7 linked regions of the Macaca fascicularis genome follow. The protein of the gene in region 4 purifies or fractionates together with the protein of the main gene of each other region. This does not show direct contact. Links are inferred from orthologs where the notes say so. Each region holds a gene or a part of one and is shown on either strand. Other genes may lie near its edges. The genes, in order: PRKCD, SOS1, RET, SHC1, KDR, GAB2 and AP2M1.

Region 1 (4,008 bases), on a different chromosome or scaffold from region 4:
CTTTCCCAAAGGATAGTCCTGGAACCCACCTGGTCTGACCTTTTCTCCCCATCCATCTTCCCCAATCTCAACCCAGGTGGCTGACAACATGGCAGCCCTTCTGTCCCCCATCCAGCCTCTCCTCTGCCCTGCAGTCCCTCTGCCCCATCTATCCCGCAGGAGCCCTCTAGAGCCTGTCGTCCTGACTGATTGTAACAGCTTTCACCACCTTCTCATTGCTCCGTAAGAAGACCAAAGTCCAATAACCTGTCTCTGTCACAAGCCCCTTTCTCAGCTCAGGCCACCTCTGGGATTGTCCCCCACTTCCATCCCTTGTGTTTAGACTTTCCCTATCCCTTCTAGGTGGTTCCCCAGGACCTGGAACCCTCTTTTTTGTCTCCTGGGAAGTGACATTTCTTTGGATCAGTATAAGAATAATGTCTTGGCTTTCTGAGCTCTGGGGACAGGGGAATGGACACCCTAGAACCCCAACTGGTCCCTAGACTTTGAGCCTAGGGGACACTCGATGAATAGATGGATGAGTGTATGAATGAATGAATGAATGAGTTATGGCTGACAACCAAGTTCCACGTCTGGAAAGGAGGCTCAGGCGCCTGCCAGGAGCAATAGAGAGGTCTCGAAGATGGGGGCAGGAGAGCAGAAGACTGCCAATCGGGGTAGGGGCAACTGCCAGTCGGGGTAGGGGCAGGTCCCAGAACCGCCTGAGGAGCAGTGCAGCGGCCGACCAGCGAGAACCTCCGGCCCTGGAGTGTAACCAGCTCAGTCTTTGGGGCAGAGCCGGGACAGCGGGCTTGGCGGCGGGCACCGAGCCCGGCCGCGTCCGAGTTCCAGCCAACAGGAAGAGCAGGAGTGGGGCCAAGGGAGGCGGGCCAGCTGGCTAGTGGGGAGTCCCGGGCGTGGGTGTGGGGAGCGGGGGAACCCCCGCCGGCGCCTCCCAGGCCCCAGCGGGCGGGGGGCGCCTCCTTATCGGGCCTCAGCGGCCTCCTCTGTAAAATGGGCCCCTTCTGAGGGCTGGCTGCGCGTAATGGCGGGAGGATGCGAAGCGGGCCACAGAGGGCAGAGGGGCCGGGAGACTCAGTGTCCCGCGCAGAAAGAGGCAGAGGGACACAGTCCCCGGTTGCAGCTGGTGGGGCGGGGCCTGGAGGGGCGGGGCCTGGAGGGGGCGGGGCCGGCGGCACCTGGGTGAGGTCGCGCCGCCCCGCCCCCTCGCACTTCCGTGTGCCGCGGCGCCGGAGCCCGAGGCTGCTGCAGCCCAGATCCCCCGAGCGACCCCCGGCGCCCGCCCGCCGTGCCGAGGCCCGGGCCACACCTCACTGGCCGCTGGACTCGTCCCAGTCAGCGCCGCGCCGACCGCCGTCCGCGCGCGCCAAGGAGCCGCCCGCCCGCCACCGCCGCCGCGACCCTTGGCGCCTGCCCCTGCGCCGGGAGGTGAGTTAGGGCCGGGACCCGGCGCGGGATCGGGGCTACCCCGAGGGCGCGACGCCCTTTCTTCCCCTCCCCGGCCCGGTTCCCGTTTCCGAAACTGAGAAACTGAGCCGCGGTCAGCGAAAGTCCCTCCGCGCCGAGACATGCCGGTGACTCCGTCCCCCCGTCCGTCTGTCTGTCCGTCCCTCCGCCAGATAGTGGGGGCTGAGGTCTTTCTGTCCGCCCGCCCGTGTGTCTCCCGCTCCTCCGAGAGGCCCGTCCGTCCTTCCCGACTGTCTCCTGGGCCCTGTGACCGTCCGTCTGTCGCCACCCACTCTGTGTTCTCCCCCTGCGCGCCTCTCCGAGACCCGATCCGTCTGTCCCTCGCCCTCCGCGTGCTCCATCGCCCCACCCCCACCCTTACCCCCGCCGGCCGCCCCCTCGATCCCGTTCTCCCGGAGCCGCGCCCCCGGCCCACGCTTGCCGCCCCCTGCCGGTCCAGCCGCCTATCCGCTCTACCGCGGAGCCCAGGCCAGGCCGCCCGCCGGGCCTCGCCTCCCGCCCCTGGGTCCCTGGAGGCCCGACTCGCGCGGCGCCTCCTCCTCGCTGTCTCTTCTTTCGGTCTCAAGAGTCTTTCTCGGTCCCTTCATCCGTCTCTGGGCTGGGCGTGGCTCCAGTCTCCACCATCCCCCTTACTGCCCCACCCCTCCGCCCCTCTGAGACCCCTTCCCAGGGTGGCCCCTGCCCGGTGTGGTCTGCACCCGCCCCCAACCCAGATGCCACTCGCGTTGTGGGGGCTCTGCCAGGTGAGGGGAGGGAGGGGGAAGTCCTCCTGGCTGGTGGTGGAGAGGCAGAAGGAGAGCACCATCGGAACTGCTCCCACTTCCCCAATTCCCTCACTCTTGGGGCACAGGAGAGCCCCACTGAGCCCCCACTTAAACCTGGTCAGAAGGATTTGCTGTGAGTGTGTGGGGGGGTCCCCTTCTCTGATGCCTACCCTGTATGCATGGACGCTATCTCCTTGTGCTAAGTCACTGGTATCTGGGTGTGTGGGTTGTCTGTGTCAGCTTCTGTGCTGTCACTGTGGGACTTGCCTGTGCATGTGTGTCCTTTTTCGCATGTGTGGCTTGCTTGTGTGTATGTGTGTATGTCTGTTTGTGTCCTGAGGCTCTGTGTGTGTCTTTTGCAACTGTGTGTACCATTCTTGGTGTTTTTGTTGTCACCAGACTTGTGTGTGTGTGTGTGTCCTTGTCTGCCAGTGTGTGTGTCCCTGTGTGTCTGGAGATTTCAGTGTTGCATACTGGGTATATCATGGTGACCAACTGCCCACAAGTACCTTAGATCTGTTAATTGTGGAAGCCCCTGGTGTTGGGTGCCTGCCCACCAGGCTCATGTGTGAGTGTATCTGTATGAGTGTGTGTATGTGCGTGTACTCATGTGTGGCTCTCCCTCTGCCACTGAGCTTCTGTGACCAGGCTCACCTGGTCACTAAGGGAGGGGACTGATCCCTGGGGTTTCCTCGTTCCTACTGTGGAGTGAGCTGGGGCGCGGTGGGCAGGCCAACAGAGGGAGGCTGTATGGCGCATGTGTGATGTGTGCAGTTGTGTGTGTGTGTGAGACAGAGAGGTGTGGAGGTGTCTGGGCAGCTGTACCTGGCTGAGGGGTGGTGTGAGGACTATGGGATGGGACGGTACTGGGGTAAGCCTGGCAGTGTGTGGTCATGGTAGGAGTGTGTGACTGGTGGGACACAGTCTATGCTTGGGGAGTGACTGTGATTGTGGGGAACGGAGAGTGCCTGGGCGTGGGTGTTAGCGGCAGGAGGGGGTGTGACAAGGTGTGTGGTGACAGTGCTGGGAGGGAAGGTGAGAGCCCAGTATGGGTGTGTGAGTGTGTGGGAGACCATGAGGATGTGGGTGTGCACATGGAGAGGGCTAGAGGGCAAGTCTTGGGGTTAGCAGTGTTGTGACCAAGACCTCGGGCTCTGGATCCAAGAATGATTTGGGCTCCAATACTTGCTTGTGCCTGTTAAGAGCAAGAGACCCAAGCTAGGCCTCTCAAGGCTGAGTGTCTTTATCTGCAGAATGGAGAAAGTTGTGTGGACAAAAGGTCCTGAAGTCTTATGTTGTCACCACCCCCGGCTATATGGTTCCCATTCTCCTGGGAGCTGGGGTTAAAGAAAGCCCAGACAGTATCCAACCCAATTTCCTGCCTGTCTGTTGCCCCTTCCCATCTCCTTGACCAAGCAGCTTGAGGGAGGGAGGATGCCCAGACAAAGCCCCTAGTACCCAGCCCTGTTCAGCCTGCATGACAGCCCCTCCCTCACCAGCCGTTAGTGTCAGTAGCAGCAATGGGGGAGAGAGGGGTGGGGAGTGATTCAGAGCTGTGACTGCAGGGCGCTGACACCATTTAGCTGGCACAGTTTAGATTAAAATTAGAAATAATTTAAAGTACAGACGAAAAGATAAAGCCAAGGATGCCTCTATCCCCAGGGAATGGTGATGAGGGTCTCCAGCTGGGGGAGGGGCTCACATCTGGGGAGCAGAATCTTTCTTAGAGGCTTGAGCTGGCTGTCAGAAAAAATGCTTAGGCCTTTCAGCCAGGAGA
Region 2 (4,006 bases), on a different chromosome or scaffold from region 4:
AGGTAAGAGTAAGAGAACACAAGTTGGATGCATCTACAAATAATTCAATAATAAATCAAAGGAAGAAATCAAGATATGGAGATATCCACATGAAATGTCCAGCAGGCAGGTAAAAACGTAGGTTTTGAGCTACCAACAACATATCCAGATATGAAATATACTGTATTTTCAACCTTGTTTAGAATCATTGTTAGTGGATATTTAAATAAGAATTGGAAGAACCTTACATATCAGCTAGATTATGTACACTTCCACCTCCTCTTATCACTTCTACTGCAAAAATATTTCTAGCTTAAAGTCAAAAGCTGGTTTATGTAAATATGCAAAAAGGACAAGTGGGGGCTGTGGTAAGGTGGAGATACACGACCTGTCTAAAGAAGGCAGCCATTTACTCACCTCCAGCAGTTTAGTGCCTCGCTTGAATACAGACCCTAAATGACAAGACCTTCCTATTCGTCAAGAAAAGCAGAAAATTCAGATTTTATGTAATATCTCCCATTTTCAAATATTAGCAACTAATTACATTTGAAAATAAAACCACACTGTGCCAGCCAAACAAAATGCTTCTGTGGACAGATTCCAGCAAGGGCCACCAGTGTGGCAGAATTAAAACAAGGTCTGTCAACTCCTACAATATTCTTTCCACTACTTCAAAGAATTCTCAGCTGATAGCTTGGTGATTCCCTAAGAAAGCAGCTGTTTTTGCCTCTAAGCAAAATGGCCCCTATTTGGCAATACTTTATGAGTTCCTTTACAGATTTTTAAACAATTTCCCTGTCTTCTCTTACCCTATCCGGACACCAGCTTCTAGCATCACAGAGACGTCCTACACCCATTCCATTGCAAGCTGAGAAGCCAAACTTGCAAGTAAAGCAAAAGTAAGGAGTGAGAGCCTGATGGGATTTCTAAGGAGTAAAGTATGTAAGATACATGGCATCTTTTTGGTTTTCTTTAAAAAAAAAAAAAAAAACACATAGATGTTTGTGACTAGTCAGACACTTGAAGGGGAAAATGTCCGTAACTTAAGTCAGAAATATATGAGCAAATACTCCTGACAAACCAAATAGTTTCCACTGTAAGACAGCAAGAGGGACAGGAGGAGAACAGGGCAAAAGGGAAAGTAAAAGTTACTGGCCTTTGAGAAATATCAGACAGCTTTTAATGTTTAGCATAAAAGGTACAACATTAATCTCCATTCTTAGTAGAAGCAGTTAGCATGAAACATTCTTTAAGCAGCAAGAAACTGGAATTTAGAAACACTATTAGAAGAGTAAAGCAATCTTTACAGAAAAGGTAAATGAAGAAAAGGAAACAAAAATAGTCTGGTAGTCACACTGCTGCTTTAGAAGCTTTAAAAATGTAACAACACTTCCTAATTATACTAAAACATTTAAAAGCACAGATCGGGGGTATGTAACAATGTAGCAAACTTAAACATACAAAGGCTAAAAATTCTTAACCAAATGACAGCACCAAGTTTCTAACGCTGCAAAAACAAAACAAAAAAACCCCGAAATTGGTAGCATGTGCACCGGCCCCTGTTAATCGGAGGAGCGGGGGAAACCAGGAGAATGAGGAGTGATTGCTGATGGCGAACAGAGCAGGCCACGTTACTGCTGGCAGGCGAGCTCGCAATTCCTTTGAGCAAGCACTACGGCCAGGGCATTCTCGAAAAGCCACTAAAACGAGCGTACTGGACACCTAAAACGGCAGGCTGACAGCAGCTCCGCGCTAAGACCGAGAAGGCGGAAAGGTGGCCTGCTTTGACCTCCGCAGAAAACTGAGGCTCCTGCAACTGTTGTCTTGGAATCAAAGGGCAAAGCATTCACCTCTCAGGGGTTGGATTATTCGGATAAACTCCCGCCAGCTCCCTGCGGCCTTCCCACACACCCGGTGGATGTCAACACTGAGAGCCAGCCGTATGGCGAGCCTCTCAGTGTGCGCCGTCCTTCTGGAGACGCGGCGAGACCGGGAAGAAAGACAGCCCTGCGCGCGCCCCGCCTCCCCAGCCCTTCCCCAGCGCCAGCCCGGCGCCCGCGCTGGGGTGCTGCGGCCGGGAAGCGGGGTCCCGCGTGCTCCTCACCTTTTTCAGCGCAGGCACCAGCAGTCCCCGCCACTTGGGCGCGTTCTCTTCGCTGAAAAACTCGTATGGCAGCTGCTGCGCCTGCATGGTGCCCCCGGGGCGCCTCTGGGCGGGGAGAGGGGCGGCGGCGGCCGGGCCGGGGAGCTGCGAGAGGGCGAGATCGCAGCACGGAACAGGGCCGCGGCCCCACCGGACGGCCCGGCCCCCTCCGGGCGCCGCGCAGCCGGGCTAGCCCTGGTGAGGGGGCTGGGGGGCGAGGCCCGCGCCCGGCCACACACCCGACACGGGTACCAACTGTGGAGAACGAACGCGGCCCGGAGGCGGCGGCATCCCGCACCACCGCCCCGGGGCCAGGCCCCCCGCGCCTCCTCCCCGGCCCGCCGGCGCCGCCCGGGGCTGCCCTCTGCCGCGGCCGCCGCCCGCCCGCCCGCCGGGGCTGCACTCTCGGGCCCGGCCTGGCCCCGCGGCGGAGCTGGCGGCTGGGGGAGGACGTGTGGAGGTACGCTCCGGCCGCGGCGCCCGCTCTGCTCAGTTGGTACCCCGAAACGCAGGAGCCCCGGGCGGGGCTGAGCTGGGGCGGGGGTCTCACGGGGAAGGGGAAGGACCCGAGGTCGTTGTTGGGGAATCTGGCTGCCCTGAGGTGCCGCCGCAGCCGCCGCCGCCGCCGCCGGTGTAGCGCTAGAGCTTCCTACTAGCGAACTGAACCTGCTCGCTACTGAGCATGCGCCGCCGGGCTGGGCTGGTTCGCTCCGGGTTTTCCGGCTCCCGGTGAAGGAGGAGGGAAGCTCGAGAGAGAGAGAGGGAGGGCGCCTGGCCAGGCTGTTGCTGCGCTCCTGGGGGCTGCAGGGGAGGGGCGAAAGGACCCGAGAAGTCGAACCCTGGCAAAGTGGAGCCTGCAGGGGTGGGTGATAACTAGGGTAAAGAGGCTCCCCATTGTGTGGTCTGGCCGTGAGGGCTCCCACCCCTCTCGGAATCCCTGGGCCCTTCGTTTCGGAAAGGGGTGTGTGTACTTTGTTCCTGAACACGAAGATAAGGACTGCCCAGAGCACGCAATGTATAGTAAACAGACTGGACAAAAGATACAGGTGCTCTGTCACGAAACCTACTGCTCAGTATCTGCTGAGTAGTAGAAGTGATTGCAGTGTTTCTAACTGGTCTTTCCACAAAACCAAGAATAAAATGTGTACGTGTAGTATTGATTTTGTGTGTATGTTTTAGATTCCCTCTGTTCATCTTTTAAACCCACTCCAGATATGAACTCCAATAAACACTTTCCTCCAGTGGATATCGAGACCTCTTCTACAGCTCCTAGAGCACTGCACTTACGCCCTTCTCAGGGCGTTCAGTCTATCGTGTTTTGTATCTTTTGAGGTTCTTTCGACTAGATAATATACTGGAAGGCCGATCTTTTTCACCAGGGCCTCTACACAGAACAGGCACTCAGTGAATATTAGTGGAATGCTAAAGGAGCAGTATTTATAAACTGTCCCTCCAGGCCACTGTTTGTTTATAATAGGGGCACTTTGTGGCAGACACCTTATGATTTATCATTAATTATCACTTTTTGAGTATCATCTCATTTAATCCCCATAGCAACCCTATTATTTTCATTTCACCGATAAGGCAGTTTAGAGGAACTAGCCTGGGTTAAAGCTGACATTGTGTCCTCCTATTCCTGAGAACAGTAACCAGATCAGGCAAACGAGAAAGGTTCAGTGGTTCTTAATCTTTACAGGACCTCTTTGAAAATCTGGAAAAAACTCTTAGGTTATTTCCTTTAAAAATATACAGGCCGGCCAGGCGAGGTGGCTCATGCCTGTAGCACTTTAGGAGGCTGAGGCAAGTGGATCACCTGAGGTCAGGAGTTCGAGACCAGCCTGGCCAACATTGTGAAAACCTGTCTCTACTAAAAATACAAAAATT
Region 3 (3,500 bases), on a different chromosome or scaffold from region 4:
CTGGCGTGCGGTGTGCGCCCCGCTCTGACCGCAGAGCCCCCTTCCCGAGAAAGGCGGCTGGCCCGGTCCCGGCTGGCGATCACGCGGGGCCCCTGTCTGCTTGGTGCGCAGGTGAGGGTCTGCCCTTCCGCTGCGCCCCGGACAGCCTGGAGGTGAGCACGCGCTGGGCCCTGGACCGCGAGCAGCGGGAGAAGTACGAGCTGGTGGCCGTGTGCACCGTGCACGCTGGCGCGCGCGAGGAGGTGGTAATGGTGCCCTTCCCGGTGACCGTGTACGACGAGGACGACTCGGCGCCCACATTCCCCGCGGGCGTCGACACCGCCAGCGCCGTGGTGGAGTTCAAGCGGAAGGAGGTGCTTGTTCGCGCGTGCTGTGGTCTACCCAGTGTTTGTCTCCCGCCGCAGTTCGTTTCTCTGTCAGTTTAGTGTCCGTGTAGCCACCCAATCATGTGGCCGACCATTCACGCGTTCATTTGTCCTTCGTCTCCGTCGGCCCCCTCTGTCCTAGGGGGAGGAGAAGGGGGAGTCCTGTCAGCACCCAGCGGGGTCTTGCCTTGGGAGGCTGGGAACCCTGGGTGCCCAGTCTGGGACTGACCAGGATGAGGCCCGAGGGCTCGCGTCTGGGGCACACTTGTGCCGCTGCAGGCGGGCGCGGCGCGCTGCCCGGGCGGGGAGCATCTGCCGGGAGGGCACTCCCTCCCACCAGCAGTCAGCCCCCAATGGGAGGGCCATTGAGTGACCAGGAGCGGTGCCGGGGATTGGAAAGGGACAGGAAGGCGGATCGCCGCCGGCCCGGCCCCGCCCCGCCCCTCTCCGGTTCGCGCTGATGGAGCGCCACCGCCACCTGCTGAGCCTCAGGCCTTCCTGCAACCGGCCCACTCCGCCGGGGCCGTGGGAGAGTGGGCGTGGAGACTGAGGTAGTGCGTTACCTTGTGCCGCTTCTCTGGGCACACCACGTGCAGGTTTGGCAGGGAAAGGAGGTCTGACCGAAAGTACACCTTGTGAGTAAAGGCTGTGTGGGCCTCCCTGGGCCGCCTAGGGGTGACAGCAGAGGCCTGGTGCGCAGAGCCATCCCAGGTGCCCCGCGGCTTTCCTCACAACCCCCTCCAGCCTGGGGGAGGAGGATGCTTCGAGCAGAGTGCTTTGATGTACACCTGGCCTCGGATCTCGGCTCTGCCATCTGTTCCTGTGTGACCTTGACCTGACCTTCACCCTGTAGGGCCCAGCTTCCTCAGGGGAGAGTGGAGGTGCTCATTCTGCTCTCTAGGGACCTTGATGGGACCTGCCAGCAGGGTGCCTGGGCATCAGCTGTAATTCTCCCTATAAGAGGTCTACATTGCACCTGTTACACAGAGGGTCAGTGGCTCAAGGAAGGTGACTGGGCCAGGCTGGCCAGTGACCCCGTGGGAACTTGAATCTAGGTCAGACAGTCCCCATACCTGGCTCTGACAACGCACACCTGGTCCACCTGTGGGCTGCGTGGGACGTGCAGCATCCTGAGGTCTCTGGTTTTGGGGGGTCTGAGGGGCCACTCTCACCTGCACTGACCAACGCCCTCTGCATCCTGCAGGACACTGTAGTGGCCACTCTGCGTGTCTTCGATGCAGACGTGGTACCTGCGTCAGGGGAGCTGGTGAGGCGGTACACAAGCACGCTGCTCCCCGGGGACACCTGGACCCAGCAGACCTTCCGGGTGGAGCACTGGCCCAACGAGACCTCAGTCCAGGCCAACGGCAGCTTCGTGCGGGCGACCGTACATGACTATAGTAAGAGGGGCTGGTGGCATGGCCTGGCTGGGCCCCCAGGAAATGAAGTGCTCGTTCTTCATGGGCAAGCAGCACCCCACACACATGCACACCTGGCATGGCCCTCTGTGGCCCAAGCCACTTCCCCTCCACCCTCTTCGAAGCACTTCCTGTGTCTCTGCCAGGCCTGCCCTCCATCCACCAGCAGGGCTTTCACCATGGGTCCTCTCTTCCTGAGCTGCACCATGGCCGACCCTGGCAGGGCCCTACCACACCCCCATGCTAACCTCGCCAGGGCTCACCACTGATTGCAAACATACATGTCACCTGAGGCTTTCCTCCCGCCCCTGGCACTCCATCATTGCCCCTAAGGTATCTCAAATGCTTAGGGATTATTGCTCCAGCCTTATCAGCTCTCTGCTAAACAGTCTGGTATACAGAAGCAGCCCTGAGCCAGGTCAGGGCTTCTGAGCCCATTGTCCTGCCTGACTCCTGACATGTGCCACCATGCTCACCTGCTTGCAGGGCACCTTTCAGCTGAGGCCTTGCTTCCTGCCTCCCTCCCCCACCTCCTGCTGATTTCTCCTGGGATGGCCTTCCAAATAAACCACCTGCATTTGGGGTCTGTGTCTGGGGGAACCCCGGGCCATGGGTCCTTCGCCCCTTTCTGCCTGGCCTGGTCCTGTTCATTCCTCAGTCCTCCCCACCTCACCAAGCCTATGGAGGCCCCACCTGTCAGAAGGGAGACAGCCTCCTTGCCCTGGCACTGAACACCCTGTCTGCCAGAGTGCCCCTCCCATCATTGTTTCTACCGCATGAGAACTAGAGCGGAAGCACGCGGCAGGTACACGGACGGCATGACTTCCAAGGCTTGGCCTGCAGGGTCATTGGGTCTGCTGGAGGCTCCTGCAGTGGAGGGGAGTTCTCCCATGCTCTGGGGAAGCTGTTTGGAGGGCTCTAGCATGTTCTTCCCAGGGCCTTGGTAATGCAGACCTTTAAGCCCCCATGTCACACACACACACACACACACACACACACACACACACACACACACCCTGTTACCCCCAAAAAACGAAACTCTGTAAAACATTTTAAAGAGGTTTATTCTGAGCCAGGATGAGTGACCACAGCCTGGAGAAAACACAAACCCAAGAAACCTTGAGTAAGTGGTCCCCAGGTCCAAGGTGGTGGGGTTACAGTTTGCTTTTATACATTTTAGGGAGACAGGAGTTATAACCAAGGACATAAATCAACACTTGGAAGGTATGCATTGGTTTGGCCCCAAAATGCAGGGTATCTTAAAGCAGGGGCTTACAGGTTAGAGGTACATGCAGAGATTCTTTAATTTACAGTTGGTTGAAAGAGTTAAGCTTTGCCTAAAGACTTCAGGTCAGTACAAAGGAATGTTAAGGAGGCCTGCTATGTGTCGCGTGATGCTATACAGGGTCAGGATGGAAAGTAAACCGCGTTATACCTGGGTAATAAAAAAAAAAAAGGTTTTTAACAAGATTTTATGGGCCAGGCATAGTGGCTCACACCTATAATCCCAGCACTTCAGGGAGACCGAAGCGGATGGATTGTTTGAGTCCAGGAGTTCAAGACCAGCCTGGGCAACATGGTGAAACCCTGTCTCTACAAAAAAATACGAAAAATTAACTAGGCGTGGTAGCACACGCCTAGATTCCAGGAACCTGGGAGGCTGAGGTGGGAGGATGGCTGGAGCCTGGGCGGTTGAGGCTGCAATGAGATGCAACAG
Region 4 (3,035 bases):
TGGTCTGACTCCTGAGTCTGAGGAGCTGGAGAAGCCCTTGGATCTTCTTACGAAAGGAAACTTGCAGTGTCTAGCCTTTAACCATGTGACATTGGGCCTCACAACCTCTTCGGGGTGGTTTCCTTATTTGTAAAAATGGGCACAGATGAGATGACTGCCTTCTAGCTCTGATAAGGCTTGGGGATTTGAGGACGGGCCAGGACTGTATTTGTTTTGTTTTGTTTTTTTAGACAATCTCACTCTGTCACCCAGGCTGGAGTGCAGTGGTGCGATCTCAGCTCATTGCAACCTCTGCCTCCTGGGTTCAAGCAATTCTCCTGCCTCAACCTCCTGAGTAGTTGGGACTACAGGTGCCCACCACCACACCCAGCTTATTTTTATATTTTTAGCAGAGATGGGGTTTCACCATATTGGTCAGGCTGGTCTCAAACTCCTGACCTCAGGTGATTCACCTGCCTCAGCTTCCCAAAGTGCTGGGATTACAGGTGTGGGCCACCACGCCCAGCCCTATAGTGCCAGGACTATAAAGAACACAGTTCAGGCTAAGGGATGAGCCCCTGGAGGAAGATGCCAGACACCCTAAAGAGCAAGAGAGGCCCACAGAGAGCTGCCTAGCGGGAATGTCTAGAAAGCAATGAGGGAAGGAACAGGGATACACTGTAGGGTACTGTACCTTCCTTTCTGCCACCCCTCACCCACACCTCTGCCACACTCACCACACCCTCAGGGTCCACCAGTAGCAGATGCTTGGGCTGCCCACTCTGCAAGCCAGTGAGCACATACTGGCCAGGTGTGGTCGTGCTCTCCCGCACCAGGAAGTCCCCGTTGAGCTGCAGCAGTGCCTCAGCCTCCCGCCGACTCAGCTTCCCATGGAACCAGGGCTCCCCTCGGAGCTGCTCAGCCATGGACACTGACTGGGGAGGTGGAGGCACCCGAAGAGCATCTTCAAAGGGCTCTGGAAGTGTAGACAGAGGGTGAGGGAAAGTAGCAGACACAACACACACCCAAGACCCAGACTTCAGGGAAGGGAAGTCAGGAAGGAAAGAGCAGATAGGCAGGAGAAGGGCCAGAACCAAGTAGAAAGGTGGAGATGCAGAGAGGAAAGACAAGCACTCACTCATATCAAACAGGTCACGGGGTGCACTGCCATTGACAGCAGGATTGGGGAGCCCAGCACCACCCACTGCTTGCCGGACCTTGTCTAGGTTCTGGACGTTGACATAGGAGGGATCGTCAAAGAGCTCTCTGCCTGCTGAGGAAAGACAGGTTCTACAGTGATCCCCAGCCCTGCCTCCAGCACTCCCTGGCTCTGTCCATCTCAGCTCCCTTCATACCTAGACAGGGTGGTGGAGGTGGCATCTGTTTTCGGACTTCTGGATCTCCCCCAACAGGCTGTCCTACAGGCTGCAGGGATAAAAATAAGGTGAGACCAGAAGCCCTAAACAACCACTCCCACCCTAGGCCCAGCCCACCTCCATCCAAGCAACTTACCAGTGTAGCTCCCAAGTGGCTAGGGGTCTGGGCACTAGGTGCAGTGGATCGAGCAGCCCCTGGAGCAGCTCCTTCCCGAAGCCTCATGTCTACCACCCCCCCCAGGGGGGGTTCCTTCCCCGGGAAGTCATTATAGTACTGATGGTCAGGTGGCTCTTCCTCTTCCTCATCCCACGCTGAGCCATCAAAGCCAGCCATCCTGAGGGACAGGACAGTGAAGGTGTAGCTGTAAATGTGTGGTGGGCAGGAGGAGGGGAGGAGGGAATAGAACAGCAGCCATCTATTGGGTATTTACTGTGGATTAGGCCTGAGGCTGAGTGTTTTATATACATAATCATTTCATTCTCCTGGCAACCCCATAAGGTAGGTATTGTTTCCTTCCCCAATTTTACATATGAGGAAAATGAGGGTCAGAGGTGAAAAGATTTGCCCAAGGTCTCACAACTAAAAGGCGGCTAAGCTCAGATTTAAATTCAGGTTTGATTTTAAAGCTCGTCCCCCTTGGCCAGGTGCAATGGCTCACGCCTATAATCCCAACACTTTTAGAGGCCAAGGAGGGAGGGCTGTTTGAGCCTAGGAGTTCAAGACCAGCCAGGGCAACATAGCAAGACCTTATCTCTACCAAAATAAAAATACTACTACTCAGCCACGTGTGGTGGCATGCACCTGTGGTCCCATCTACTCAGGAGGCTAAGGTGGGAGGATCACTCAAGCCCAGGGTATGAAGGCTACATTGAGCTGTGATTGCACCACTGAACTCCAGCCTGGGCTACAGAGCAAGGCTCTGTCTCAAAATAAGTAAGTAATGCTTTTGCTCTTGATCTCTGTGCTCTCTCCCAACAAGGAAGGGAAGCACTATGGGGTGTGTGTGTGTGTGTGTGTGTGTGTGTGTCAGCAGGGAGGCGCTCCAGCTCCAGAAGCACTATGGGGTGTGTGTGTGTGTGTGTGTGTGTGTGTGTGTGTGTGTGCGCGCGTGTGTGTGTCAGCGTCAGCAGGGAGGCGCTCCAGCTCCAGATTTTACCTCTCCTAAATATTCAATCCCTACTGGCTCCACTGCTTATCCCTCAAGGCCTGAGGTGGGAAAGATTGTAATCTCAGGGAAAAGAGATATCCTCCCAAACCCAAAGTCTTGATGGCTTCTAGAGGCAGGAAAACACAGAATGCCAAGCAGAGAAATGAGCAAGAAAGAGGAATGGGAATAGAAAATCCCACCTAGCCAGAGAGAGATGTAACTTGGAGGCCCCGGACTACAGCTCCACCATGAGCAAACAAGAAAAGCTGGCCCTGCGGCAAGCAGGGCCTCAAAAGCCTTTGCTCCTGGGCCACAGGAAACAGAAGAATAGCAGGAAGTGGGAAGCAGAGGCACACAGGTTATTCCCTCCCTGAACCTCTCAGCTCAAGTGTGGGAAGAACAGCCCTCCTTTCCCAATCTTGGTCTCAAAAGCTGCTCCACACTCTCCCCACTTGCTCACCTGTCATGAGGGGTGACCAGTTTGGGTGGGTTCCTGAGGTATTGTTTGAAGCGCAACTCAAAGGCCTGGCCA
Region 5 (3,500 bases), on a different chromosome or scaffold from region 4:
AGTGTGTGTTATTCCCTTCCCTGTGTCTATGTGTTCACATTGTTCAGCTCCCACTTATAAGTGAGAATGTGTGGTGTTTGGTTTTCTGTTCCTGTGTTAGTTTGCTGAGGATAACGGCTTCCAGCTCCATCCATGCAGCTGCAAAGGACATGATCAGATTCCTTTTTACAGCTGCATAGCATTCCATGGTGTATATGTACCACATTTTTTTTATCCCACTGACCTTCTATTATGAAAAATGCCTCCACTTTTGCACAGCCAAGAACACTGCATGCCTGGCAGGTGTAGAGGCCTTCGTCCTCCTTCCTCACTCTGCGGATAGTGAGGTTCCGGTTCCCATCCTTCAATACAATGCCTAAGAGAGGAAGAAAATGATCATTCTCATTTATGATGATGTGGTCTGTGAAGTTTTTTAGGGAAATTTAGAAACTATAAATGCTGCCCTTCATCTTGTTCCATTGTCTAACTTCGTAGAGTCACATGGGATCTACTGCTGACTAATCTCCTATATGGCTTTCATGAAAATTCAGCAAGGCCCCATACTCCAATTCCAAGTGTATGAAATCAGCCAGGCCATGGACACCAATACTGCTTTTTTTCTACATTATATCAAGAAATAACATAGCTTTTTATGTCATATCCCTGGGAAAGTTCTGCAACCCAAGAGTAATAGCCAAGTTCTATTTACCTGAGTCTTCTACAAGGGTCTCATTATCTTTAAACCACATGATCTGTGGAGGGGGATTCCCAGATGCCGTGCATGAGACTTCAATGGTTTCCCCAATACTCGTCGTCTGATTCTCCAGGTTTCCTGTGATCATGGGTGCCACGCGCTCTAGACACACACAAAGAAAATCACAGAACATGGAATTAAAACTTTTGAAATGGCTCTAGTATCACCAAACTTTTAAACAGTTTAAATTTAGTAAAAAGAAACTTGTTGATTTATTAGGTTGAACATACACAGAAGTTAATAACGGCACCATTGGTCACTGGGTAAAGTTAAATGAAACAAGTCAGTCAGGACACTGCAAACAGATTAACGGCTTTTAACATTCATATTAGTGATACTAGCTGGTCATCCCATCACAAAAGAAAGGTTCAGGGTCACCTCTATGGATTTTTCCCGTAATCAGGCACAGCCTCCCCAGCTGAAAACTTCCCTCCTGTGAAGGTTCTAGTCAATGACACCCTAGAATCCCTTCAAATTTCTCTTGGAAGTGCCAAATTTTAGTATCATTCAACAAATAATGCCTTACATTTATTTGGCAATTCTTATAAAGTTTGTTTATACAATTTGTGTTCCTCACTATTGATCTTACGTAATGAGCAGAATAGGACTGTTAGTGTTATCTCACAGATGAAATAAATGATGTTCAGTGACATTAAACTACTTGTCCATGTCCCTACAACTAAGTAAACACTTGAACTGTTTACTGAATCTGGTGAGGCTAAAAGACCAGTTCAGTGCTATTTCCACTAAAACACAAGCAAAACAACAATACCCTAAGGGAAGTCATGGATTTAAAGAAAATGAAGCCCATGAGTATTTGTTTAAATGTACAAGAAAACTTTAGATTTATTCTTTCTTCAGATCATCAAAGTGCTGTGGAAATATCTTGTCCCAACCAACTGAACATCAAAAGGAATCATGCTGAAAAAATCCACTTCAACACTTAGCAAAATGAGATTACCTCAACAGCGTACTACATTGAAGTCTAAGCAAATGTACTGGATTCTAGCCTATTTCTAAGAATAGATTTTAGGAAAACAAGTTAGGAGTCCTTAAGGAAGCAAACCAGCTAACTGTGAGCACATATTTTTCTGGGCAAAGCTAGGCCAGGAGCCTACTTCACATCTCTTTCTCAATTCTTCCATAACCTTGAAGCCAGACCAGCCAACAGAAAATCCATGGTGAACTATGTGGTGTGACTTGAAGGGTCCTGGGGATGACTTGACCCCAAAGTATCTCTTCTTATGACACCTGAGTCTTAAAACTAGCGAACTTTATGCTAGTGTCTGTCAGAAGCTGCCTCTTCAAATACGTCAAGGCCTCTGATGAAGACATTACCCTCAAACCGTGGTATAGATGAATTTACTTGGGCAATTTCCTTTCTAATGATAAAAAAAAAACAGAGGGCACATATATCCTAGGAATTGAAAGAGACACCAAAAGAGGAGAAAATAGAGAGAAGTGGCGCAAAGAGACGCTCCCCAAATTTGCCTGATTTTCCCACAGACAGAGCCATGGCTGCCCAGTTTTTGCACAAGGCATGAGGTTAGACAAGGGGTAGAGAGTGCCCCTATGGAGGAATTTACAGAGCTATCTGCTCACTGAAGTGATCGTCCCATTGACCTTGGACCATGCTGGACCATGTAGGTTCACCCAGAGGTACAGACAGACCCAGAGGTACAGAGAGAATGTAGCTTTCTTCCCATGGAATCTTCTAGGTCTTAAACTCAGTCCATCATCCCACTCTTCATGAAGCAGGTGCCCTTTTGAGCACTTAGTGTATGCTGCTATGCTGTATGACTAGAGCTACAGCAGGGAGCAAAACAGAGAACAATTCCTATCCTCACGGACACAGAGACCTCACTGTGCTGTGACTTCCCAGTGATTGCCTATGTTCCCCTCCTTTCCCTCATGTTTACCACTGTGAATTTCTGACACTCTCCTAGCTCATAACAGGCATTCCACAAATATGCATCTGTTTAAATAAATAGATGCCCAAGATAAGGCAGAAGTTTCCCTGGTTCAAGCTAATCCCTTGCATATACTAGTGAATTACTCCATCATCAGGTTTTGTTATTTTCTCTTTTCAATACATCATTTCATTATTAGTAGCTTCTTTCTGCCTCAGGGACTTTCAGTGAAGAAGTGCGCACCAGTTTACAACACGATCTCCTAGAGAACAGTAATCTTCGCATAGCACCTGAATTGCACTACATTTAAGGCATTCCAACTGCCCCTACACAATGATCCAGAATTGTCTCCCTACCGAGGACTGTGAGCTGCCTGACCACGCAATGTCTTTTCTTGGTCTTCCTGTCTTGAGCAACGCAGACATAGTCTCCTTGGTCCTGCAAGGATGCATTCTTAAGCTCCATGATCAAAATGTCATTTGTGCTATTAGAGAATATAGTGGCATTCAATTTCCAAAGAGTATCCAAGTTCTTGCAAACAGGTGTGGGCAACTCTCCCACGTGGACTGGCAGAGGCTGTGGGCCAAGCTTGTACCATGTGAGGTTCTCAAATGTAGATTTGTCTGCAGTGCACCACAAAGACACGCTCTCCTGTTCAGTGGGCTGCAAGTCAGGTTGCAAAGTAATTTCAGGACCCCCTAAAATGTAAAGACCATTGTTACTGAATGGTGATTTAACTTGGTATAGCTCACTATCATCTTGCTGCTTTCAGACTACTACAAAGTACCAAAAGAAATGAAGCTCTATCAGTTCCAGGTGATGTACTACAACTTGACAAACAAACTAGACAATTCAGG
Region 6 (4,040 bases), on a different chromosome or scaffold from region 4:
AACGCCCAGCTAATTTTTGTATTTATGGTAGAGACGGGGTTTTGGCCAGGCTGGTCTCGAATTTCTGACCTCCAGTGATCTGCCGGCCTCAGCCTCCCAAAGTGCTGGGATTACAGGCATAAACCACTGCGCCCAGCCTTCGAATTAAATCAGTTTTTAAAAAAATCGTTTTAAATAGTTATAACCTAGTTCATCAACTACTTTTTCCCCTTATCTCATATGCTTGTGGCATTCTTATAAAGAGGATTTCTCAGTACAATATAACATGACTATGATGTATACCAGAAGCAGCAGCTACTTTGGGGTAAATATACAGCCATTAGGCTGGGAAATACTTTCCAAGTTTGGTTCTGATGAACTCGGGCCTCTACTGAAATAAGCAAACTAGCAGAGTTTTAACTTACAACAGGATGCAAAAATTCTTAATACCCCCAAAAACAGTAGACGTAAAAGAATACTGTTCCCCGGAAGCTTAAGGTTACACAGATCAGCAGTTTCAACTGGGGGGAAACTGAACTTTCGAAAGGGCAGAGGCTTCCAGTCATGTAAGTGAACACATCACATCCTGGCCTAAGAAAAGCTGTTACTGAAAGCTGTTAAGGTCTGACACCTGATGGGCTGAAGGTGCATCGAAGATGGGAAAGAGAGGCTAAGGCCATCACACGATTCTAGATTCGTTCAAATGAGTGAAAAAGGTGCTTGACCCAAATGCCTCCAAACCTGGTTTTTTTGAACTAAAGTTGTTTGGGAACAAAAACACCCAAGAAATGGGTCATAAAGAGAGTCTGGGTGAGCGTTCAAGGAGCGGTAAGTCAAATGGAGATACAATGTCATACTGTTTGCAAATTGTTTCAAAAACAAGTTTCAAGGTTTAGTGTAGTGTTCAAATTTGAAAACTAAGGGTCACTTTTTCTTTTTTTTTACTGTGGACACTCTATTCCACTAGCTTGTATGGAAATCTATTTGTAAAGATAATTTTTGGAAGCTCTTTGGGACAAAGTTTTAAAAATATTTATTAAATTGTTAATAGTAAATCACTGCTCCTTAATCCTAATTAAAGTATTCAACCTTCCTAACGAACTGATACAAGCCTGAAGAGGAAAAAAGTGTATTTCTTAATAATTATACTTTGGCTACATAGACACTCCTAAAAATGAGCTTTCAAACTGAGATGAACAATTCACTGCTTCATCCCTCCTATAAATCCACGTCCACTTTCAAAAGTCATGTGCTAAATCAGAATTTTTTTTTTCCTAGCAAACATCTACGTAAGAGCCTGATTTCATTGACACACACACTTGCACTCCGCAACAACAACACTTCCTTTGAAAAACAGAATGTCACTTCCTCAGTCCAGAGGCCAGAAGTCCCTTGATTCTGATCTGGGGAGCCAAGACAGGAAATTCTGGTAGGCTTCTGCTTCTCCCCCCATGGACAGCCACTGGTGCAGCTGACAGAGGGCAGGGTCTATTCCGAGCTCCCTTGATGCACTGCAGCTGGAGGCAACGGCTCCCTTCCAGGCTGTGGGAGTGATCCCGGAGTCCGGCACCACAGCCCGTTAAACAAGGGCATTTCATGGGAAAAGGAGAGGGAGCAGATGAGAGACCTTGAAACCTTCCAGCCACCTTACCCCCACTTCCAAACTCCCGCGACTACCCCAGGACCATTTCGGCAAAATCTCAGTAACTGGCACCATCTTGTACTTTGACCTCACCAGGCAAGGCATCCTCTGGGGAGAGGGGTTAAAAAAAAAAAAAAAAAAAAGCCAGAACTCCACGGCTCAGCGCCACGCCGTTCCACCTCCCCCAAACTGCCAGTTCCCCACCTAGAGGGAAGAGGCTGTTCCAGCGATGTCAGTAAACACTGTGGGTTGGCAACACCTGGGCGCCGAGAGCCTCGATCTCTCCCGACCCCAGACAACCGGGAGCTGCCAGGTCCCAAACCCGGGCCAGCCACGGGGACCAAACTGCAGTGTCACACCGGGGTCGGGGGAGGCGCCTGTGAGAGACGAACGGAATAAAGGGAGAGAAGGGGGACAAACAAATGAGTCACTTAATACAAGGGCTGCACATGCCGCTGACGCTGCCGGTGATGCAGCCGCGGACGGAGTGAGGCCGGCGGCCGGGAGGGGCGGGCGGAGAAAGGGAAGGAGAGGGCGTGAGGCGCTCGCCCTTTGTGGGGCCGTCCGCGCGGGCCCACAGCCTACGCCCCCCTTTCCCGCCCTCTCCCGGACCTGTGAGCTGAAGCTGCTAGGGGCCGCCGCGGAGCCCCAGCCCCGAGAGTCAACTCTCTCGGTCTCCAGAAGCCATCAATACAAACTTCGACACTATATTTAGTTTACGGGCAGACCGCCTGGGGAGGCGCCGACGCCGCGCCCGCCTGGCGGAGCAGGAGCCGCAGCCTCAACCTGCCGCCCGCCCCGCCCCGCCCCTCGGCGGCGCACCTGTGACAGGTGTGCAGGTACCCCACACGACCCTGGCCGCTCCTCGCCCCCGGCCCCCGCGGCTCCGGGCCCGAGCTCCCCAGCCTGCCGCCCCTCCGGGAGCCCCCCGCCCCTCCGCAGGCCCCGGAGCGCCCCCCGCCCGCCCGCCCGCCCCTCGGCGGCCGCGCCCGCACTCACATAGCGCCTCAACTTCTTCTCGGGAGGCGATTTCCTCAGCCAGCCGGTGCACACCACGTCGCCGCCGCCGCCGCTCATGCTGCCGGCCTGGAGCCCGCCGCTGGGTCGCGCGGACTAGGGCGCGGGCTCGGGCAGCTGGGGCAGCGGCCGGCGGTGCGCAGCTCGCGGGAGGCCAGGGGCGGGGCGGGCGGCCCGGCGGGGACTAGGCGGCGCGGCGCGCGCCCGGCGGCCTCGCGCGCGCCCGCTCCCCCGCCCCGAGCGCGCGCAATCCGCACTCTCCGCCGGGCCGCCGCGGGGGCAGTTGCAGCGGGAAGGCCGGCGCGCTCGCCACGCCCGCTCCCGCCGCGCCCCCGAGGCCGCCGCGCACGCGGACGCGGGGCTGGGGATCCGCCAGGACACAGAAAGCCACCGCCGCCGGCGAGCCCCGGAATCTCGCTTTCTCCTGAGGCCTCAAGCTGCGGGCGCGGAGGCCGGGGAGGCGGCCGCGCCCCTGGCGCTGGCGGGCGTGCGGAGAAGGGACTGCGCGCCCTCCGTCGTCGATCGATTTTTCACCGAGCGTCGACGGGGAAGGGATCCGAGGGTTGCTCGCGTTTCCGATCCATTCTGCGGGTCAGGTTCCTGCTGAAAGGAGGGACCCCTTCCCAGTAAGAAGTTCCTTAACTCTGGCGCCCCTCGGCGGGAGGAGGAGACGGACCTACTACGCGCCGGAGCCTTTGCACTCTTGGCTTACAGGATTGTCTTCAGTATTGTTCCCATTTTATGGACTGCCTAAGGGCAAGGGCTTGTACAAAGCCTAGCCAAGTTTCCAATTCAGGTGTGTGGGGGAGGAGGGGTCCCAGTCATCCCCTATTCAAAATGAGGGCATTGCCTTAATGGGATCAACCTGGGAGCCTCTCATTGCCTGGAAACAAAGTCCAGCTGAGTCCCTCCTACATTGCCTCTAGGAAAACAGTTAAGTATAGAAAACTCGCATGATTTGTAGAATGGAAGAAGCAAACCTAGTAAATATATTTCATAGTGAATTGGAAGGCAAGGTCAAGTGTAGAAGAACAAGAAATTGGGGTCCAAATTCCCCAACGTCCCCGCTCATTGACAGTGTCTCTCCAAGCAGCATTAAAAGGCAGGTCCTCCCTAACTTCTCTGATAAGTGGATAGTATCCTGTTTATTCAATGGGGAACCGTGCTGTGTGGACAGATGAATTGGAGAAGCAGCATCTTGCACTGCCCCACACAACCTTAGACTAAAGCTGTTTTGTTCATTTCTGTCTCTGTGCAGCTGAGATGTTTCAAGCAGTTGGACATCATTTGGTCCAACAGATCTTGATTGGGTTGGGGGAAGTTCACCCTCCTCAGTTTGGAAAAGCGAATCCGCTATCACGTACTTAGCTCTTCTAGATACCCTAGGAGTTTTAGCAGTCAG
Region 7 (3,370 bases), on a different chromosome or scaffold from region 4:
GCTTTTCAATAACAATCTTGTCATTCATCCCAAACTTGCATTCAGGCATGCCACTCAGGTAGCTCTTCATCACCACCCGGCCCGACACATGGGCACTCAGCACCTGCCCTGATGATGGAACAGATAAATGGGGAGCAGCAGAGTCAGGCAGGCAGACCCAGGATCCTGCCCTGGTCCCCCTCCAGCTTTGTTGTGAGAGGGACCTCACCTTGTGGGGACATGAGCAGGTTCACACTCTCCAGCACATCCAGGAAGAGCTCATTCCGGCGATACTTGATACCCTCTCGCCGCCAGCCAATCTGCCCAGTCACCTGGCTGGTGATCTGTGACTGCTCTTCTTTTGTCTACATGGGAGCAGAAACAAACAGCAAGAGCCTCACTCCCCTCTCCCTTTAATCATCCTGTCTCTATCCCCACTCCACCCTCATTCCCCATCCCTTCTAGTCCCCACCTGTAATCCATTTTCCCCTATAAGCCCCAAAGGGCAGGGCCTGGAGAAACAAAGCAAAGCTGCAAGGGCGGAAGCTAAGGGAAGGGCTTACCTGATGCTGGAGGCCGCAGGGCCAACGAGGTGCCCACATGAAGTAGCAAGGGAGGCAGAAAAGGAGGAGAAAGCTATGAGGCTTGGATCCTATAGGAGAGGGCCCAAGCTCTCTCCTCCTGAGGAACACCAGGCCTCAAGACCAGGCCTCCTCCCCCAACCCTCAGTGCAAAAGGAAACTGCTTGAGCTGTATTCCTGGTAACAGAGATGCTGAATTGGCTGCTCCTGCAGTGGGAGGACCACATAGAGCAAAATAGGCCTGCAATCATGGCAGGAGGCTCAGGCCAGCACTTCCTGTTATGGGAGGGCTTATGAGTCAGCTCAGACAAGGCTCAGGGGCCAGCTGAGATGAAGGGAGATTGGCCTGCACCCTGACTATAGTCTGCACAATTCAAGTACCTGACTCTTGATGCCCTGCTGCGTGATGAAGGTTTTCAGCGCGCCTGTCTCGGAATTCTGTGGATAGCCAAAGTCTAGAATCTCTGAAAAAGAAGGGAACCATCAGCCCCTGAACAAACCTTCTCATTCCAGTCCCTACTTGGGCCTACACATGTCTGACTGGCACAGCTCCCAAAGACCATGTGGGATCATCTGCAACAAAGTCTTCTAGCTTTGTAGCATTTATTCTGTGATTTGTGCTTTACAGGAAAACAATTCAAATGTTTGATTTTTTCAAATAGAGAAATCAAGGCCAGGCGCAGTGGCTTATGCCTATAATCCCAACACTTTGGGAGGCCAAGGTGGGAGAATCACTTCAGCCCAGGAGTTCAAGACCAGCCTGGGCAACATAGCGAGACCCAGCTCTACAAAAAATAGTAAAAATGAGCCAAGCATGGTGGCATGTGCCTGTGGTCCCAGCTACTCAGGAGGCTAAGGCTGGAGGATTGCTTGAGCCTGGGAGGTCAAGGCTTCAGTGAGCTGCGATTACACCACTGCACTCAGCATAGGCGACAACAGTAAGACCCTGTCTCAAAAAAAAAAAAAAAAAAAAAAGAAATCAATAGAAGAGTCACATGGCCAGTGGGTGGCAAATCAAGAAGCTTTGAGCTGTTTTCTCCAGAAAATAGACAATGGGAAGGTGGAAGGATTCACCTTCCCTTAGATCACACTCTACAGAGAAACAGAGGTAACAGTGCACCCCCAGAGGCTTGTAGTATCTCAGTCTCCCCCAGGCTCTGAAGCAGCTGCTGAGATGGAAAACTGGGTGGACAGTCAGTGAAGTAAGGTCCAAGCCACAAAGGAAAGAGGATGAATACAGGAGGCTCACCACCAAACCTGAGTCAGGTTCCTAGCCCCGTGGAAGACCAAAACTTCCCCTCCACACCTGCTGGCCTATTTCTGTGTTCTACTTCAGACCAGCCTTTAGGTTTGGATGTGAACTGGCCTTCTGAGGGGCATAGAGATCCTAGTCCAAGAGCCCAGATACTCAGGAAAGAAAGTTCAGAGTGTACCAGAGCCTCGGACCTACACCCACTTTCAGGCCAGGCCCAGCCTGGTTCTTTCCCACCCTAGGCCCCCTGCCCTGCCAGCCCACCAGCCTCACCATCCAGCAGCTCATATATGAGTACAAAATTGTTCTTGATGTTTTCCTCGCTGATCTTGCCAAAGTAGGCAGCCATCACGTCACACATCTTATAGAGGAATTCGAAGACCATGGCAGCGTTGACATTCTGCTTGGTGACTGCTGCCAGCCAAATGTTGGACCGCTTAACGTGGAAGAAGCTGGTGCGAGCAATGTTGGTGACGGGGCTGCGCACCTGCTGCCGGGCATGGATAACATTGACCCGAAAGGCATCCACTGCGTTCCTCCTGAGGGGAAAGGGTGCACAGGGCCTGCTCAGCACCCAGGCGAACCTTACCCCACAAGGATCAACCACAGCTGTTAACAGCTCCACCCACCTTTCTGCAGAAGTCTGACACACACAATCTAAAGAAAGCCAATGCCTAAACCACTGGGGTGGTTCCCTTCTTATGACTCCCTGTGGAGGCATGGGAAGAGTGCCTGAGCTGGGCTAGTGTCTAAAGGCCACAAGAAATAGGGAAGTCAACTATTAAGGCCGATGTAACCTTAATAAAGTGAGGTTCATCAGGTTTAGAGACAGATATTCTTGACTCCCAGGGCTGGCCCTAATTTCCCAGCTTTATCTAGCTTCCCTGTAAGCTCCCAGGTCCAGGACAGAAAGAGACACTGCTTCTCCAGTCCTCCCACTAGTGATCCCACCAGTGGGGAGGGCCGACTCCTCCAGATGTTATACAAAGCCAGCATGGCTTCAGAAGTCACAAAGGAGGAAGTACCAAGGGGCCATGGAACTGTGCTACCCATTCTTGCCCAGGATCCAACTCCAGAGCAAGTTCAGGGAATGAAAAAGGATGCAGGAAAACAATGATGGGGGCAGGGCCCCCACCCACCTGTACCTGGGCAGCAGCTTGAGAGGCCGCTTACCTATTGCTACGGCAGTCAATGAGATGGGATGAGAGAAATGACGCCAGCAAGAAGAGGAGAGTGACAGCAACGAGAGAGAGGGTTAGACACACAACACACCGGGAGGGCAGCACACACCGTGAGGTGGAAGCAGACAAGACAGGCAAGGTGGCGTGTGACCCAGCCTTGGCTTGCCTAGTCCATCCAACGCAGGAGGGGGGCCGGGGGTGGGGGTGGGGGGTGTAGCCAGCCAGATTCAGGCAGGCCAGACCTTGCCACAGCTGCAGCTCTAACTCATGCCACACCACCAGCCAATGGACAAACACCCGCAAGGGCCAGGCCAGCCCATCAGCCAGGGAGCCAAATGAGGAGCACTGCCACAGGCCCATTCTGTGACTTTATCTCA

The links.
Region 1: the proteins of SHC1 (region 4) and PRKCD purify together in Homo sapiens (affinity purification with mass spectrometry; 3 studies listed by BioGRID and IntAct, with this or other methods). This does not show direct contact. The link is inferred for Macaca fascicularis from reciprocal best matches to the Homo sapiens genes SHC1 and PRKCD.
Region 2: the proteins of SHC1 (region 4) and SOS1 purify together in Homo sapiens (affinity purification with western blotting; 14 studies listed by BioGRID and IntAct, with this or other methods). This does not show direct contact. The link is inferred for Macaca fascicularis from reciprocal best matches to the Homo sapiens genes SHC1 and SOS1.
Region 3: the proteins of SHC1 (region 4) and RET purify together in Homo sapiens (affinity purification with western blotting; 4 studies listed by BioGRID and IntAct, with this or other methods). This does not show direct contact. The link is inferred for Macaca fascicularis from reciprocal best matches to the Homo sapiens genes SHC1 and RET.
Region 5: the proteins of SHC1 (region 4) and KDR purify together in Homo sapiens (affinity purification with western blotting; 3 studies listed by BioGRID and IntAct, with this or other methods). This does not show direct contact. The link is inferred for Macaca fascicularis from reciprocal best matches to the Homo sapiens genes SHC1 and KDR.
Region 6: the proteins of SHC1 (region 4) and GAB2 purify together in Homo sapiens (affinity purification with western blotting; 6 studies listed by BioGRID and IntAct, with this or other methods). This does not show direct contact. The link is inferred for Macaca fascicularis from reciprocal best matches to the Homo sapiens genes SHC1 and GAB2.
Region 7: the proteins of SHC1 (region 4) and AP2M1 purify together in Homo sapiens (affinity purification with mass spectrometry; 3 studies listed by BioGRID and IntAct, with this or other methods). This does not show direct contact. The link is inferred for Macaca fascicularis from reciprocal best matches to the Homo sapiens genes SHC1 and AP2M1.

What each region holds. Positions count from the first base shown.
Region 1 is NC_088376.1:116,296,965-116,300,972, forward strand, and holds the start of PRKCD (protein kinase C delta type), read left to right. Parts: upstream 1-1,208; 5' UTR 1,209-1,428; intron 1,429-2,238; exon of another isoform or gene 2,239-2,364; intron 2,365-4,008.
Region 2 is NC_088387.1:83,039,229-83,043,234, reverse strand, and holds the start of SOS1 (son of sevenless homolog 1), read right to left. Parts: upstream 2,801-4,006; 5' UTR 2,171-2,800; coding exon 2,084-2,170; intron 1,954-2,083; exon of another isoform or gene 1,830-1,953; intron 1-1,829.
Region 3 is NC_088383.1:52,371,225-52,374,724, forward strand, and holds part of RET (proto-oncogene tyrosine-protein kinase receptor Ret), read left to right. Parts: intron 1-111; coding exon 112-353; intron 354-1,569; coding exon 1,570-1,765; intron 1,766-3,500. UniProt on the Homo sapiens protein: Receptor tyrosine-protein kinase involved in numerous cellular mechanisms including cell proliferation, neuronal navigation, cell migration, and cell differentiation in response to glia cell line-derived growth family factors (GDNF, NRTN, ARTN, PSPN and GDF15).
Region 4 is NC_088375.1:106,179,118-106,182,152, reverse strand, and holds part of SHC1 (SHC-transforming protein 1), read right to left. Parts: coding exon 2,964-3,035; intron 1,691-2,963; coding exon 1,492-1,690; intron 1,405-1,491; coding exon 1,335-1,404; intron 1,253-1,334; coding exon 1,118-1,252; intron 956-1,117; coding exon 717-955; intron 1-716. UniProt on the Homo sapiens protein: Signaling adapter that couples activated growth factor receptors to signaling pathways. Participates in a signaling cascade initiated by activated KIT and KITLG/SCF.
Region 5 is NC_088379.1:78,793,592-78,797,091, reverse strand, and holds part of KDR (vascular endothelial growth factor receptor 2), read right to left. Parts: intron 3,342-3,500; coding exon 3,000-3,341; intron 836-2,999; coding exon 689-835; intron 356-688; coding exon 224-355; intron 1-223. UniProt on the Homo sapiens protein: Tyrosine-protein kinase that acts as a cell-surface receptor for VEGFA, VEGFC and VEGFD. Plays an essential role in the regulation of angiogenesis, vascular development, vascular permeability, and embryonic hematopoiesis.
Region 6 is NC_088388.1:77,317,322-77,321,361, forward strand, and holds the start of GAB2 (GRB2-associated-binding protein 2), read right to left. Parts: upstream 2,801-4,040; 5' UTR 2,699-2,800; coding exon 2,621-2,698; intron 1-2,620. UniProt on the Homo sapiens protein: Adapter protein which acts downstream of several membrane receptors including cytokine, antigen, hormone, cell matrix and growth factor receptors to regulate multiple signaling pathways.
Region 7 is NC_088376.1:96,097,113-96,100,482, reverse strand, and holds part of AP2M1 (AP-2 complex subunit mu), read right to left. Parts: intron 2,352-3,370; coding exon 2,086-2,351; intron 1,025-2,085; coding exon 942-1,024; exon of another isoform or gene 582-941; coding exon of another isoform or gene 543-581; intron 345-542; coding exon 209-344; intron 109-208; coding exon 1-108.